2 linked regions of the Lonchura striata genome follow. The protein of the gene in region 2 purifies or fractionates together with the protein of the main gene of each other region. This does not show direct contact. Links are inferred from orthologs where the notes say so. Each region holds a gene or a part of one and is shown on either strand. Other genes may lie near its edges.

Region 1 (8,352 bases), on a different chromosome or scaffold from region 2:
ATTATGGCAGTTACCATGAGAGGCCTTTAGTTCCTCATGGTGAGAGATCTTTATCCAGGTCCTGGCAATAGCTGCTTTGTAAATAATTAAAATAACTCCTCCAAACAACAAATAAACTACTGCTTATTACAGAAGGCGAATACTAATCTTTAGTCCTTTAAAAAGAAGTAAAATAAATCTTGGAGGAGGAAAAATAACCTGGGTCATTTCCTTTTTCTGTAAGCCTCAGGAGAATCCAACCACAAAAGCAACATTTACCTTCTGATAAAATACATTCAACACCAGAGTGAATTCTCTATGAAAGTCCATAAAATACCCCACAACAAGAAACAGCCACTGTGGTTACAAAGTCTGAGAACAGCCAGTACATATGACTTGTATGGAATTAGTATTGTGCACACTATGCTGTGTTATGCATAATTCCAAACTGGAAAAAAACATCTCAGTTGGATGCATTTACTGTGTAACAGCTCTGAGAAGCAATAAAAAAACCCCCAGAAGTTTTTATTTTGCATATGCAGAGCTTTAGGTGAGATCTGACCTCCAGCTATGAAGATCAAGATGACAGTGACTTTATTTTCTGTCCTCTCTCCTCTCTCCTCCCTCTTGATTTTACACAGCTCCAACTGACCCAGTCCCTTGGCTGGTGTGAGGGGCATTACACAAAACCTGCGCCTTCAGCCCTGCTCCTGCCCTGGAGCTGGGAGGATGAGGATATTGTGCAATGTTTTTGTGGATTCTTAGCAGCAAATGAGAGAGGCTTTGCTAGGCAATTAAGCCTGAAAGAGCAGTGAGGTAAGGAAACCAGCAGTGTTAGCTTCCCATCTGGCTGGGTTCAGCAGCTTGCGCTGCCATTGGGAACCAAGGTGGTTCACTCAGCTCCGATAAAAACTGATGGACCTGGCTGCAAACTAATGCCAGTTTTGAACTCTGCCAAATCCCCACAGATTGTTGTTGGCCAAAAAAGTACCTCAGCAATCCTCTAGAATAAAATTCAGACTTAACAAGAGTTGTAACTTTTTATTTTCCAAGAGTGCCTGGGCAGAAGAGCTTCTGAAAGCTGCCTGGGGGTGAGTTTAGGAAGGCAGATGCAGTGGCTTCCTCAGCTCAGCTGTGAAGGTCTGCCTCATTAAACACAACGTGCCCCACCTGCATCCCTCCTGCTGTCTCCAAGCACAGCTCACAGAACACTCAGAACAACGTTCCTCACTGAGGTTATTAAAGCAAACAAATTCGCTTGCACATGTTTTAATACCTGAGAACTACATAATGAACCCTTCAGAATTCTCTGCAACTTTCAGCTCAGTGGTACGAAGAAGCACCTGGTAATCAGGAATTCCTAGGAACCCACAGGACAGACCTCTGGCAGCACCGGGAGAGCAGATTCTCTTGGCCAGGATTCCTCTTTGCCCTGTATCCCACACCCGGCTCTGCCGTTCTCAAACCTGCCTCTCATGCAATCAAACATATGCAAATATGCATTTCCATCTAGATCTGCCTTAAAACGTGTTCAACAGAAATAATTTACTTTATTTTTTAGTCTACATGCAAAATTTAACCAATTTCAGACCACATCAGTTGGAAAAGGCTGCCCAAAGAAGCTGTGGATACCCCATCCCTGGCAGAGTTCCAGGCTGGATGGGGCTTTGAGCAACCTGGTCTACTGGAAGTTATCCCTGTGCTTGGGAAGAGAGTTAGAACTGGATAATCTTTAATGTCCTTTCCAACCCAAACCATTTTGTGACCGTGCTACTAAAATTCTAAGAGACTGCCAAGCAAGGTTTGGAAGAGTTCGCTTCCTTCCCCCCGAGCCTGCCTGCAGGCAAAGCTGCAGCTGGGCTCAGAGGCTCCCAGCAAAACCTTTAAAACAAAGAAATCTCAGTCCACCAGTAGTGAATGGACTCACTCACTACTAAACATCAAAGACAATCCGTGACCCACTGAATTTCCCAAGTACTTTTGTGGCTGCCTATGGAGTGGCTGGTCACAGCTCCCAGCTGTTCCCAGCGACCCCCAACAATATCCAGACACTCCTGCAACACAAACACACCTCGCCCTTGCACACAAAGCTCTGAGTTACAAAGCCCATCTCCTGCATTTCCCCGTGCTGGTCCCCGCAAGAGGGAGCACAGGACAAAAAGCTCATCCGAGCCGCGGCTGTAAACTGTCTGCCGAAAGGCAGCGGGGCAGTATTTGCTGCATCCTGCCCTACCTGTGATCGTTCCGTGCACCTGCGTCCCATTCTTCAGCTCAATGGTCACAGTCTCATGGCTCAGCTTCATTAGAAACCTGTGAATTAAAAACGCCTTTTAAAAACTCCAGACCCGTTCAATCCCACATAAAGCCGTACGCGTTCGACAGGCAGCACCAAGCAGCTCGGCATCCTGAGCTCCCAAAGACGGCGCTCAGGAATTCTGCTGGGGATGTTCAGAGACACTCCGCGTCCTGCCCAACCACCGGCAGCTGGGACGCCTGAGTGACACACTGCCGGGTCCAGCATCCACTTCCAGGCGAAACGGCCATTATTGTACAAAGAGGGAACCATTTTACAAATCGTTACAATCCCGGGAAAGCAACGCTAACGCACTCCGCGGCGTTTCCCTCCAAAAATGAAAGGCGGTGGGGGAGGGGGGTGCTTTGCCGAGCGACCCGCGCAGTCCCGGGGCGGGAGCGGCCCGGCACAGGGGGCTGCTCCCGCCGGGCCCATCCCGGGCCGCTCCCGCCGGGCCCATCCCGGGCCGCTCCCGCTCCCGCCCGCGGTGGCGGGAGAGCGCGGGGCGGCCCGGACTGCGCGGGCTCGCCCGGCGCTGCCGCCGCGGCCGGGCGCGGGCAATCCGCCTCCATCCGCCCCTGCCCGCGCCCACCCGCTCACCTGACGAGCTTCATGGCGGCGGGCGGGCGGGCGCGGAGCGGCGGGCGGGAGCCCCGGCGAGCGGAGAGCCGCGGGCGAGCGGAGAGCCGCGGGCACGGCGCGGCGGAGGCGCCTCTCGGATAGGCCGCGCCGGCCGCGCTCGCCGGGACGCTGCCGCGACAGCGCCCCCTAGCGGCCCGGAGGACCCGCGGCGAGCGCCGAGCAGCGCCTGCTGCCGCCCCTGGGGGGAGAGGGCGGGGAAAAGGTGAGAGGATGGAAAAGAGGGACGGGGAAAAAGAATGGGCATGGTGGGAAGGAGATACGAATAGGAGTGAGGGGACTTGGTCTATGAAAGCCTGGCTTTTTGTAAGGTTTGACAACTACCAGCTTGCCGTCCTTAATTAAAAATAAATGTTAGAAAAAAAATCAAATAGTGTACTTCATTTTAAACCTGCTTTGAGCTTTACAAATAGGAAAAGAAATCCAAGGCCTAGAACCTGTAAAGCACTAATTTATTGTGATAAAAGTTACAGCTTCAGGATCCAGAGCTGTAATAGCAAGAATTTTCACCTATTGGTATGGCCAATAAGGCACTGAAGTGCCCTTGTGAGGAAAGAGACAGAGAGCCATCGGCCCTGAGCAGAGGTGACCCTGGGGATGCAGCGCTGGAGCACTCCAGCCACAGGTGCTCCAGAGAGAGATCCAGCCATGTCTGAGAGGAGTGAACATCTCACAGTGCAGACTGGATCAGACACTGCCCCAGATCAGCCCTGTTTGAGTGATGGTTCCCACCTGCAACAATGAGCACACACAAAACTGAAGCAGCCTTCAGGTGTGAAACAGCTCCGATTTGGGAACAGTCTGCTCCAAAGTACAAAATGCACTGCAGACAGCAATGTAGAAAAGCTGAACATTTTATTGTATTTGAAGAGTAGTACACCATTTGTGATTTTAGAAATACAGAGTCTTTGCAAAGCACTGAAACACAGGTGCCTTCCAACTTCTAAAACCTACGTTATTCTAAGTCTTACAAACCTTCTATATTAGCAATTCAAGTTTGGTCTTTGCTGCAACAAGTTCGTTACCAAAGATGCACAACTCAGTTCTAGGCTGCAAGACAACTGAGCCAAGTTTCAAACTCCACCTGCCATTGAGCCACCAGAACCATTGCTTTCAAATATTGAATCTATGATGTTCTTATACTTTGTGCCCATGAGGGAGTTCACCTTTGAAAATTTTAAGTTAGGAGGACTTCCTAGTTAGCCACCAACTGGTATTTTTCCATTACAGCATCTAGAAGCAAACTGATACCTTGCAAGTACTAGTGCTCATAAACAGGTTATGTTTACACAAAACCCAGAGAGGCCTCCAGAAACATTCAAGGTTAAAATGAACAGTTGCAAAAAGAAGAAGAAAAAAAAAAAAAATCTGTACATATTTTCAGTCATGACACAAAGGAACACTGGAGTATCAGTGTTTTGTGTTCTAGCTTCAATAATGACACCTGTGCTAGCCCTAGTAGTATTCTACATTTTTGTCCCTTCCCCCCATTTAAATTTTATATTTGCAATCTGAATATACAGCTGTACTTACAGGAAATATTAAACAATGCACAGCGCCTTAAGCAAGTTCCATGTCTGGTTTTGAACAAACCATATAAAATAAGTGACAAAATAGTTTAAAATTGGTCCTTATTTTTATACAGCTTGGAAGCACTAAATTTAAAGACACACATTAACCAGCACAAATTAGTCTGCAGTTTTTTTCCTCCATTTTTTTTTTTTTTCTTAAAAGAGTGTATTACAGTATCATGCATGAAAAGCAAGCTGCTGCTCCCAAGCAGAAATACGGAGTTTAGACTTACCGCTTTCTTCTCAGGCTGTTATTCCTTCTTTCATAAATTATTTCAACATAACCAAGGATAGAAGCAGCTGACTAGCAAAACAATATGAAGTTAATCTTTTATGTTGTGACCCATTCTTAAAATAATGAAGTACTTTGGAACTTTAGCATAAGGAAGGTTGAATAAACACTGCAAAGGACTTTTACATTCTTTGATTTTGTTTACATCTTCAGAAATAAAATTCTACATTTTAACTCACTAACTACTCGATTTTCATATGGAGACTGTAGTATTGAAACAGTGCAAGACATTTGCAACTTCAGGAACATCCAATTACACTGCCCTTTCACCCAAACAATGATTAGCAGAATATTGCATCAGTTCTAGATAAACAAGACAGGACAAAAACCTCATTTTAGAATAGCATTAGGATTCATAAATCTTTCATATTTAGTGAAAAGAATCCACACACAAATATGCACGAAAGACTCCTTAACACAGACTTTATCACAACAAACGTAATCCAGCTGTAAATCTGGACCAAGACTTTTTATTGGTAAGAAGCCATATTTGTTCAGAGATCCCTATCAGATGTTCCATTAATAATGCTTCAACATTTGGGTATTTTGAGACATTAACAGCATCAAAATTCTCTCCTGTCAAGGCCAAAAAACCAGCTGAAACAACCCAGGTGGAGCATGAGCTTCAGCAGTCCACTTAAGCTCCAAGGCATTCCAGAACCAAAAAGCTGGCTTTTGTCTTTGCACTACTCCAGTAAGAGTGGAGCCCTGCCCACTAATGCAATATTCCAAAGACCATTGCAACTAAGACTGTCAAGTCAGGTCTCAGTTGAAAGCTACCACCACCACAGGACACCGTTTCCTTACCCCTGACCCCTCCCCCATTGCCAAGGAAGAATGTTCATAAGAGCATTTTTTGGTGTGGAAAGCAGGTCAGTAGAGACTCCAAGTGTGGCTTGAAGAATCCTCAGTACCAAGCCGCTTTCCACACACACAAATTCAGTCCATCTTCTCCTTCTGGACCAGCTTGGGTGCATCTACAAAATCTTTGCCGTTGTAAAGGATGATAGCAAAAGTTCCAAAGCTGGCACTTCCCCAGAAAAGCACATAGGCCAGTGTCTCAGTCCATGTATCACCTGAGAAAGAGTCAGACAAAGCTTTTAGCTCATTATCTCCAATTAGCAGACAGTTTTACTTTAGGACAAATGCAAATATTTCAAGCTCTCCCTCAGAAATCTGTTGTCAAATGAAATCAGAAGTCTTCCACAGATCTTCCGTTTCCTTGCCTTGGAATATTTGTATTTGCCACACAGTTCTTGGAACACATTGAACAGAGATCTGTGGAAGTCAGTCAAGAACTCTACTGGCAATAATGTAAAAAAATTCAAGGCAAAAGCAGGAGGCAAAAACCCTTCACCACTCCCAACACAGATTTAGATTAAAAGGAAGTCCATCAGAATCAGGCTTATGCCTGTATCTGACCGCTCTGAATTGTCTTTCTGCCCAAAATTAGACAGGTATTCCTCTGGGGCTTCATCCAGCCTATGATAAAGCTACAGGTCTACCAAGGTGCATCTAGATTTGGGGATAATTAACTGTCCCTTAATTGACTTCTACATGAGTCTTAACACTGTATTCTACAGCACCTAAGATTTTTCCACACTAATGATACAGTGCTAAACCTCAATCTCCAGAGCCATGTTCAAGCACCTTTTAGAATGACAGAGAAGCAATTCTACACTGAACAGTTATTGTAACCATTTACACAAAGTTCACAGAGAAATAACCCAGTCTTATAAAATTAAATTCAATAGTGACTTACCAGCCATTAGCAAACAAATAATGCACATGGAGAAAGCAACCACCATAATAATAGGCAACTGAGGAAAGAGAAACAGAATAATCACTTGATACACCAGTAAATATGTTCCTTAATTTCCTTTAAGATGGGTAGTACTGTAAAGCTATTTACTTGCTTTGCTTCTCAATTCACCTGCATTCAGGTACAAATAAAAGTTTGGACAGTTCCAAAATTTGGAAGACTGTATTCAATAATTATATTTAAAACTGAAATACACTTCCTGTGCATTAAATGAGAGGTTGAGGCTTATGCTTTGTTTTAAAAAAAATACACCAGTTAAACCCCATTATGTTCCCAAATGCCATTTCAAAATAGAAAGATAAGGTGAAGAAAAATGAAAAAAATGGGTGTTTTGTGTTACAGTCTATGCTTCTGCAAGAAGTGCGAGAAAAGAAGTCCACAAGATTCTTCTGTATAAGGAAACACTCATTGATAGTGACTAGTAGAATTTCCCCCCTTCCACCTGGTGAAGCACATTTGAAAAAAAGCAAAGAGTAGTTTTTCCAATACCTCAAGGACACTCCATTTTCTGTCAAGGGAAAAGTCTGGGTTTAATCCTATAAGCAGGTATCATAGAAACATTACCAGATTACAGGGATGCTTCATGACTAACAGACAAGTCCTACTCAGGCAAAATGAAGCCAGGGACTGAATTGTTGTCTCTCCTATTACAAATAAAGTCTCCATACTCACAGCTAAGAACTTCCAATCCTTCTTGACATGTAAAGGACTAGCAGGTTCTACTTCATCTACTGAATAATTTCCAAGAAAAAGATCAATCGCATCCTGGAAGAGAAAGGGAAGGCAAGAGTTCGAATGCATAGCAATGTTTCTCAAATACATTTCCCCATGGTTAAAAGCTTTACTTACTTGTCTAAATCCATCAGAAAAGTTGTTTTTGTAGTAACGTATTAATGAGTTCCAGCCATCCATTATTAAGCCCCACTGAGTTCTCTTCCCAGTTCTGTAAAAAGAAATTGTGAAACATATTTAAAATAGATGTATGAATTCAGGACTATAATTTCAGATTTACATTCTGTCATTATCTGGATGTGTACTACCTTAAATGAACACCTGCATATGAATACATTTATCTAGTGCTGCCTCTGCGTTATTACTACACATACTTGTAACAAAAGTGTAAACTGAAATAACACTTCCTTCCATCAGACAATATAGATGTGCATCTTTATGGCACACCACCTTGGTTTTCATTTCCAGATAGCCTTTACTTTCATATAAACACAGCAAGGAATCTGGAGATGTTAGTATGACTTTTTACCAACTGAACCCTTGCAAAAAACTCATTTATAGCCTAAGTCCCAGATTAATAACCTTCTCAGATATGAGGACTTGAAGAAAATCCCAAACACACTCAAAAACCCAGAAGGCCCTTACAAGAAATGCTGACTTGCCTTGTGTAATCGGTCTTTAAGGCACCAGTTCCAGCATATTGTTTGGCACAAGCATTAGCATTATCAGCCCATGCTGTGATTAGGAAAACAATAAGAAATATTAAGGAAGAATATTACAAATATTATATACTCTCTACAGAGAAAAAAATAATTGTTTGAACTCTAAATACCCTACCATTTTTGTAGATTTTCTCAAAGTCTGCCTGCTCTTCAATTCTCTGTCCCACATGCAGAACACCTAGTCTCTGGAATACAAAGCACATTGAGGCTTGCTAGGAGTTTGATAGAAAAATTAGGATTTGCTTTCAAAAAAAGCTGTATTTATTAAACTTGAGTCTAGTCAATGCAGCTCAGGTAAGTAG
Region 2 (7,952 bases):
CAACGCCGGCGGCTCCTCCACCGAGAAGCCTTCGGCCTCGCGCAGCCGCTCCTCCGCCTCGTCGCCCAGCTGGTAGAACCTCAGCTCCTCCAGGAACACGTCCAGGGGCACGTCCGGGGGTCTCCGCAGCCGCCCCCCGGACTGGTAGTAGTAGAGCACGGCCCCGAAGGCGCCGCGGTGGCGGTCGAAGAAGTACTCGCGGCGCTGGGGGTCGAAGAAGCGGCGCCGGCGCCGGGGGTCGCCCAGGAGGGTGTCGGGGAAGCGCCGCAGCGTCCGCACCAAGGTCTCGAAGCGCCGGCCGGCCACGTTGATGGCCACGCGCTCGCAGCAGCCCAGCGGCTCGCCCATGCCCGCGGCGCCCCCGCGACGGGGCACGGGCGGGGCAGAGGGCACCGAGGGCAGCCTGGGGCAGGTGGGGGGCGGCCCCGGCGGTCCTGGGGGTCAGCGGGGGGCGAGAGGGTCAAGGTTCTTCAGCGTCGGGGAAACCCAAAAGTCTTGAGGGATACTGAAGGACTTGAGGTCACAATGGGACCCCAAAGATTTGGGGAACCACGAAAAACTGGAGGTCAAAGATTTGGAGGACTGTGAAAATATTTGGGGTCTACAATGCTGGAGGAACCTCAAGGTTCTTCAGCGTCGGGGGAAACCCAAAAGTCTTGAGGGATACTGAAGTACTTGAGGTCACAATGGGATCCCAAAGATTTGGGGAACCCCAAAAAATTTGAGGTCAAAGATTTGGAGGACCCCAAAAATATTCGGGGTCTACAATGCTGGAGGAACCTCAAGGTTCTTCAGCATTGGGGGAAACCCAAAAGTCTTGAGTGACACTGAAGTATTGGGGGTCACAATGGGACACCAAAGATTTGGAGGACTGTGAAAATATTCGGGGTTTACAATGCTGGAGGAACCTCAAGGTTCTTCAGCGTCGGGGAAACCCAAAAATCTTGAGGGATACTGAAGGACTTGAGGTCACAATGGGACCCCAAAGATTTGGGGAACCCCGAAAAATGTTGGCAAGATTGGAGGTCAAAGATTTGGAGGACCCTGAAAATATTCGGGGTTTACAATGCTGGAGGAAACTCAAGGTTCTTCAGCATTGGGGACACCCCAAAAATCTTGAGTGACACTGAAATATTGGGGGTCACAATGGGACTTTAAAGATTTGGGGAACCCCAAAAATATTTGGGATCTACAATGTTGGAGGACCTCAAACTTCTGGGGGTCCCACACTGGGTCTACAATGTTGGAGGAACCCCAAGGTTCTTCAGCATTCAGAACAACCCAAAAATCTTGAGGGACACTGAAATATTTGGGGCCCAATGGGACCTTAAAGATTTGGGGAACCCCAAAACTATTGGAGGTCAAAGTGGGACCCTAAAGATTGGAGGAACCCTAAAATATTCGGGGCCAACAATGTTGGAGGACCCCAAATTTTTGGGGGTCCAACCGCGGTTCTACAATGCCGGAGGAACCTCGAGGTCCTGCGGTGTTGGGACACCCCAAAACTTTTGGGGGTCCCAAGGGGACCCTAAAGATTTGGGGGGCCCCTAAATTCTCAAGTGGTCAACGGTGCTGGAGGACCCTCAGGATCCTTGGGGGGTCCTACAGATTTGGGGGACCCCCTAAACTTAGGGGGTGTCCCAGGGTGACCCCAAAGCCTTGGAGAACCCTCGAGGTCTTTGGGGGTCCCACGGTGACCCCCAAGATTTGGGGGGACCCCAAAAATGTTGGAGCTGGGTGGACCTCGGGGGGGTCTCACGGGGGGTCAGGACCTTTGAGGTCCTCGGGGGTGACCCCAAAGATTTGGGGGGACCCCTCAACTCTTGGTGTCCCCCGGTGTCACTGCGTCCCCCCGAGGGTGTCCCCGGTGTCCCCAAGCCACCAGACCCCTGTCACCGAGTGTCCCAAACCGCCCCCACCCCCAGTGTCACAGGGGTGTCCCCAAGGTCCCCTCCTGTCCCCAAGGTGTCACCGGGGGGTCCCCAGCGGCTGCCACCGGCCTGGCCCCGTGTCACCGCCTGTCCCCAAACCCTGTCCCGGGGGTGTCCCCACCCCTCCTGACCCTGTCCCCGGGGTGTCCCCACTGTCCTGGGGGTGTCCCCACCCCTCCTCACTCTGTCCTGGGGGTGTCCCCAACCCTCCTCACCCTGTCCTGGGGATGTCCCCACCCCTCCTGACCCTGTCCCCGGGGTGTCCCCACTGTCCTGGGGGTGTCCCCACCCCTCCTCACTCTGTCCTGGGGGTGTCCCCAACCCTCCTCACCCTGTCCTGGGGGTGTCCCCACTGTCCTGGGGATGTCCCCACCCCTCCTGACCCTGTCCTGGGGGTGTCCCTGCTGTCCTGGGGGTGTCCCCACCCCTCCTCACCCTGTCCTGGGGATGTCCCCACCCCTCCTGACCCTGTCCCCGGGGTGTCCCCGCTGTCCTGGGGGTGTCCCCACCCCTCCTGACCCTGTCCTGGGGGTGTCCCCACTGTCCTGGGGGTGTCCCCACCCCTCCTGACCCTGTCCTGGGGGTGTCCCCACCCCTCCTCACCCTGTCCTGGGGGTGTCCCCACCCCTCCCGACCCTGTCCCCGGGGTGTCCCCGCTGTCCCCGGGGTGTCCCCGCTGTCCCGGGGATGTCCCCAACCCTCCCGACCCTGTCGACGGGGTGTCCCCGCTGTCCCGGGGGTGTCCCCGCTGTCCTGGGGGTGTCCCCACCCCTCCTGACCCTGTCCCGGGGGTGTCCCCGCTGTCCCCGGGGTGTCCCCGCTGTCCCCAGGGGTTGCCCCCCCACCTTGTCCCCGGGTGCCCCCTCCCCCCCACGTCACCCGGGTGTCCCCAACCCCCCCCCCACCCCCGCCACCACGGGGTGTCCCCGGCCCCTGTCCCTGTCACCGGGTGTCCCCGGCCCGCCGTCCCGCTGTCACCGCCGCTGTCCCGTAAACAGGGTGACAGGGTGGCCCCGCGGTGTCGGGTTCCCCCCCGCGCTAAAAATAACGGGGGGGGGGAGGGTGGGGGGGGGTGACCGGACACCCGGGTCCTCCCCCACCCCGGGGTCACCGAGTGTCCCCAAGGGGGGGTGACATCCCTGGGGGGGGTGACCGGACACCGGGTCCTCCCCCACCCCCCCGGGGTCACCGAGTGTCCCCAAGGGGGGGAGGGACATCCCCTGGGGGGGGGTGACCGGACACCGGGTCCTCCCCCACCCCGGGGTCACCGAGTGTCCCCAAGGGGGGGTGACACCCCTGGGGTGGGGGGGGGTGACCGGACACCGGGTCCTCCCCCACCCCGGGGTCACCGAGTGTCCCCAAGGGGTGGGTGACACCCCTGGGGTGGGGGGGTGACCAGACACCGGGTCCTCCCCCACCCCCCCCCGGGGTCACCGAGTGTCCCCAAGGGGTGGGTGACAACCCTGGGGGGGTGACCGGACACCGGGTCCTCCCCCACCCCACCCCGGGGTCACCGAGTGTCCCCAAGGGGGGAGGGACATCCCTTGGGGGGGGGGGTGACCGGACACCCGGGTCCTCCCCCCCCCCGGGGTCACCGAGTGTCCCCAAGGGGGGGAGGGACATCCCTTGGGGGGGTGACCGGACACCCGGGTCCTCCCCCACCCCCCGGGGTCACCGAGTGTCCCCAAGGGGGGGTGACACCCCTGGGGGGGGTGACCGGACACCGGGTCCTCCCCCACCCCCCCCGGGGTCACCGAGTGTCCCCAAGGGGGGGTGACACCCCTGGGGGGGGTGACCGGACACCGGGTCCTCCCCCACCCCCCCCGGGGTCACCGAGTGTCCCCAAGGGGTGGGTGACAACCCTGGGGGGGTGGGGGAGGGGCGGGGAATGGCTGTCGCCCCTCCCCCATGGCTAACGGGGGGGGGAACACCCCGGTGGGGGGGGGGGGATGGGCAGGAGGGGACCCCCCCACCCCAAAATTGGGAAGGGTGGGGGGGGTGGTGTCACCCTGGTTGTCATAGCAACGGGACGGGGGGGGGGGGGTGTGACCTGTGTAGGGATGAGGGAGGGGGAGCATCCCGGTTGCCGTGGCGACGTGATTTATAATTTTGGATTTTGGGTTTTTATTTTAAATTTTTTTTCTCCGTTGTCATGGAAACCACGCGGGGTGTCCCACGGGGGGGGTGGGTGGCAACCTGGTTGCTATGGCAACGAGACGGGCTGTTCCCTCCCCGTTGCTACGGAGGGAGGGGGGGACCCCGCGGCTGTTCCCGGTTGCCATGGAAACCCCCGGCCCGGCAGCGAAGCCCCGCCCACGTTGCCATGGCGCGCGGTGGGGGCGTGGCCATCTCATAACCACGCCTCCTCAGCAGACCACGCCCACAGCACCGGTTAATTAAGCCACGCCCCTAACAGCGATTGGTCCGCCACGCCTCCTTCATTTGCATGGACACGCCCCTTTGACCACGCCCCCTCACGGAACCGTTACCGGCCCCTTCCCCGCCTTTCCGCCGCCGCCACTTCCGGTTTCGCCCCTCACTTCCGTTGGCGCGGCGGCGGGCGCGCATGCGCGGGGGGCGGCGCGCGCGGAGCCGGAGGCAGCGCGGGGTCCGTGAGGGCCGCGGGCTCCGGGAGGGCCGCGGGCTCCGGGGGCGGCTCCGGGAGGGACCCCGAGAGGGCAGCGGGCCGGGGGGGACCCGCCCGGGAGAGGGGGAGAGCCCCGGAGCGGCGGGGGGCGCGGGGAGGGGTGGGGAGGGTGAGGGGGGGGCGCTGCCCTGAGGGCTTGGGGGGCTGAGGGTGGCTGGGGGCGCTGGGGCGGGGTTGAGGGGTCCAGGGGTGTCCGGGGGGGATTTTGGGGGTCGGAGGGTGGCTCTGGGTGTCCGGTGGGGATTTGGGGGAGGTCTGGGGGTGGTTTTGGGGGGTCTGGGGGGTGTCCAGGGTGGGGTTATGGGGGTCTAGGAGGGGATTTTGGGGGGTCTGGGGGTGGTTTGGGGGGTCTGGGGGGTGTGCAGGGTGGGGTTATGGGGGTCTAGGAGGGGATTCTGGGGGGTCTGGGGGTGGTTTGGGGGGTCTGGGGGGTGTGCAGGGTGGGGTTATGGGGGTCTAGGAGGGGATTTTGGGGTCTGAGGATGGCTGTGAGTGTTGGGGGAGGGTTTTGGGGGGTCTGGGGGGTGTCCAGGGTGGGGTTATGGGGCTCTAGGAGGGGATTTTGGGGGGTCTGAGGGCAGTTTTGGATGTTGGGAGGGGGTTTGGGGGGTCTGGGGGGTGTCCAGGGTGGGGTTATGAGGGTCTAGGAGGGGATTTTGGGGGGTCTGAGGGCGGCTGTGGGATTTGGGGGGGTGTGTGGGGTGGGGTTATGGGGGTCTAGGGGTGTCTGGAGGGGATTTTGGGGGGTCTGTGGGTGTTGGGGGGGTTTGGGGGGTCTGGGGGGTGTGTGGGGTGGGGTTATGGGGGTCTAGGGGTGTCTGGAGGGGATTTTGGGGGGGTCTGGGGGTGGCTGGTGTGCAGTTAGAGGGGCTCAGGAAGGTTTGGGGGGTCCCAGGTGGGGTTATGGGGGTCTGGGGTGCCCAGGGTGGGGTTTTGGGTGTCTGTAATGGGTCTGGGGGTGGCTGGTGTGGGGTTAGAAGGACCCAGGAAGGTTTTGGGGGGTCCCAGGTGAGGTTATGGGGTGCAGTGTGGGGTTTTTGGGGGTCTGGGGGTGGCTGGTGTAGGGTGAAAGGAGCCCAGGAAGGTTTTGGGGGGTCCCAGGTGGGGTTTTGGGGGTCTGGAATGGGTATGGGGGTGGTCGGTGTGGGGTTAGAAGGACCCAGGAAGGTTCTGGGGGGGGTCTCAGGAATGTTCTGGGGGGTTGGGGTGGGTTTTTGGGGATCCAGCGTGGGATGAATCAGCTGCAGCGAGGGCGGAATTTGGGGATTTTGGGGTGGGTTTTTTGGGGTTCTGGGGGTCCTGACCTCCCCCCTGTGCCCCCCAGAGCCTCCCAGGATGACGCAGTTCCTGCCCCCCAACCTTTTGGCCCTTTTTGCCCCCCGGGACCCCATCCCTTACCTGCCCCCCCTGGAGAAGTTGCCCCATGAGAAGCACCACAACCAACCCTACAGCGGCATCGCGCCCTACATCCGGGAGTTTGAGGTACCCCAAAGCCCCCAGACCCCCAAAACCCTCCCCTAAACCCCCCAAACCCCACTGTGGAACTCCCCAAAACCACCCTGGACCCCCAAAACCCTCCCCAGACCCCCAAACTCCACCCCAGGTCTGGCCAAACCCCCACAGATCCCCACAATCCCCCAAAACCCCACCCCAGGACTCTCCAAAACCCTCCCCAGACCCCCAAAACCCTCCCCAGACCCCCAAAACTCCACCCCTAGACCCCCCAAGCCCCACTGCAGAACTCCCCAAAACCACCCCGGACCCCCAAAACCCTCCCCAGATCCCCAAACTCCACCCCAGGACTGGCCAAACCCCCACAGATCCCCACAATCCCTCAAAACCCCACCCCAGGACTCTCCAAAACCCCTCAGGACCCCCAAAACCCTCCCCAGACCCCCACAATCCCCCAGAACTCCATCCCAGGACTCTCCAAAAACCATCCCAGACCCTCAAAACCCACCCCAGGACTCCCCAAAAATCCACCCCAGGACTCCCCAATCCCCCAAAACCCCACTCCAGATATCCCCAAAACCCTCCCCAGACCCCCAAAACCCTCCCATAAACCCCCCAAACCCCACCGCAGAAATCCCCAAAATTATCCCGGACCCCCAGAACCCTCCCCAGACCCCCAAAACTCTACCCCAGAACTCCCCAAAACCATCCCAGACCCCAAAAAACCCCAAAACCCCACCCCAGAACTCCCCAGAACCCCTATGGAGCCCTATAATCCCCCCAAAACCACCAGACCCCACCCCAGAACCCCCCAAAACCACCCTGGAGCCCCATAATCCCCCAAAACCCGGCAAAACCCACCCTGGAAGCCCCCAAACCCCACCCCAGGACTCCCCAAAACTCCCCAAAACTCCCTCAGACCCCCAAAACTCCCCAAACCCTACCCCAGAATTCCCCAGAACCACCTCAGAGCCCCAAAACCCCAACCCAGAAGTCCCCAAAACCACCGTGGACCCCCAAAACCCTCCCCAGAACTCCCCAAAACCACCCCAGAGCTCCAAAATCCCCCCAGAACTCCCCAAAACCCTCTCCAGAACTCCCCAGAACCACCCCGGACCCCCACAATCCTCCCCTGCATCCCCCCAAATCCTCAAAAACCCCTTTCTAGACTCCCCCAGACCCCCATAACTATGCCCCAAACCCCCTCTCCACCCCAAAAACCCTCCTGGACCCCCCAAAACCCCTCTGTGACCCCCCAAAACCCCTCTGTGACCCCCCAAAACCCCTCTGTGACCCCCCAAAACCCCTCTGTGTCCCCCCAGGACCCCCGCGATGCCCCCCCACCGACGCGCGCCGAGACGCGCGAGGAGCGCATGGAGCGCAAGGTACGTCCAGAACCCCCAAACGGGGGGAAACCCCCCCCAGAATGGGGTGCAGCCCCCCTCAGGAGGGCTCAGCCCCTTCCCCACCCTGCTGGGAGTGCTGGGGGGGGTCCCCAAAACTGGCACCAAGGGGGTGTCCCCCCCTAAAATTCAACTCGTCCTCAAGGCAGAGCTTGGTTCTGGGTTTTAGAGGAGCCTCTTGGGTTGTGCTCCCTCCCCACCACTGGGGTTTTTTGGGGTCCCCACTGGATTTTGGGGGGCTGTGGGTGGTCACTGTGGGTTCGGGGACCCCCTGAGATTAATCCCACCCCCATTTTTTGGTCGTTTTTCTCCCTTTTTTTACCCAAACAGCGGCGGGAGAAGATCGAGCGCAGACAGCAGGAGGTGGAGTCCGAGCTCAAGCTCTGTAAGTTGGGGGGATCCCGTGGGGCTGGGGGGGTCCCGTGGGTCTGGGAGGGGTCTCATGGGGCTGGGGGGGTCCCGTGGGGTTGGGGGGTCCCCCCTTTTCCTCTGACCCCCCTTTTTCCTCTTTTCCTCCAG

The links.
Region 1: the proteins of SNRNP70 (region 2) and SNRPD1 purify together in Homo sapiens (affinity purification with mass spectrometry; 6 studies listed by BioGRID and IntAct, counting the BioPlex papers as one, with this or other methods). This does not show direct contact. The link is inferred for Lonchura striata from reciprocal best matches to the Homo sapiens genes SNRNP70 and SNRPD1.

What each region holds. Positions count from the first base shown.
Region 1 is NC_134603.1:111,362,183-111,370,534, forward strand, and holds the start of SNRPD1 (small nuclear ribonucleoprotein Sm D1), read right to left. Parts: upstream 3,001-8,352; 5' UTR 2,887-3,000; coding exon 2,873-2,886; intron 2,290-2,872; coding exon 2,213-2,289; intron 1-2,212. Other genes in the region: SACM1L (phosphatidylinositol-3-phosphatase SAC1), read right to left, coding at 5,714-5,850, 6,537-6,594, 7,269-7,361, 7,446-7,539, 7,991-8,063, 8,166-8,235. UniProt on the Homo sapiens protein: Plays a role in pre-mRNA splicing as a core component of the spliceosomal U1, U2, U4 and U5 small nuclear ribonucleoproteins (snRNPs), the building blocks of the spliceosome.
Region 2 is NC_134640.1:2,127,929-2,135,880, forward strand, and holds the start of SNRNP70 (U1 small nuclear ribonucleoprotein 70 kDa), read left to right. Parts: upstream 1-4,415; 5' UTR 4,416-4,539; intron 4,540-5,902; 5' UTR 5,903-5,913; coding exon 5,914-6,060; intron 6,061-7,352; coding exon 7,353-7,415; intron 7,416-7,763; coding exon 7,764-7,818; intron 7,819-7,952. Other genes in the region: KCNA7 (potassium voltage-gated channel subfamily A member 7), read right to left, coding at 1-348. UniProt on the Homo sapiens protein: Component of the spliceosomal U1 snRNP, which is essential for recognition of the pre-mRNA 5' splice-site and the subsequent assembly of the spliceosome. SNRNP70 binds to the loop I region of U1-snRNA.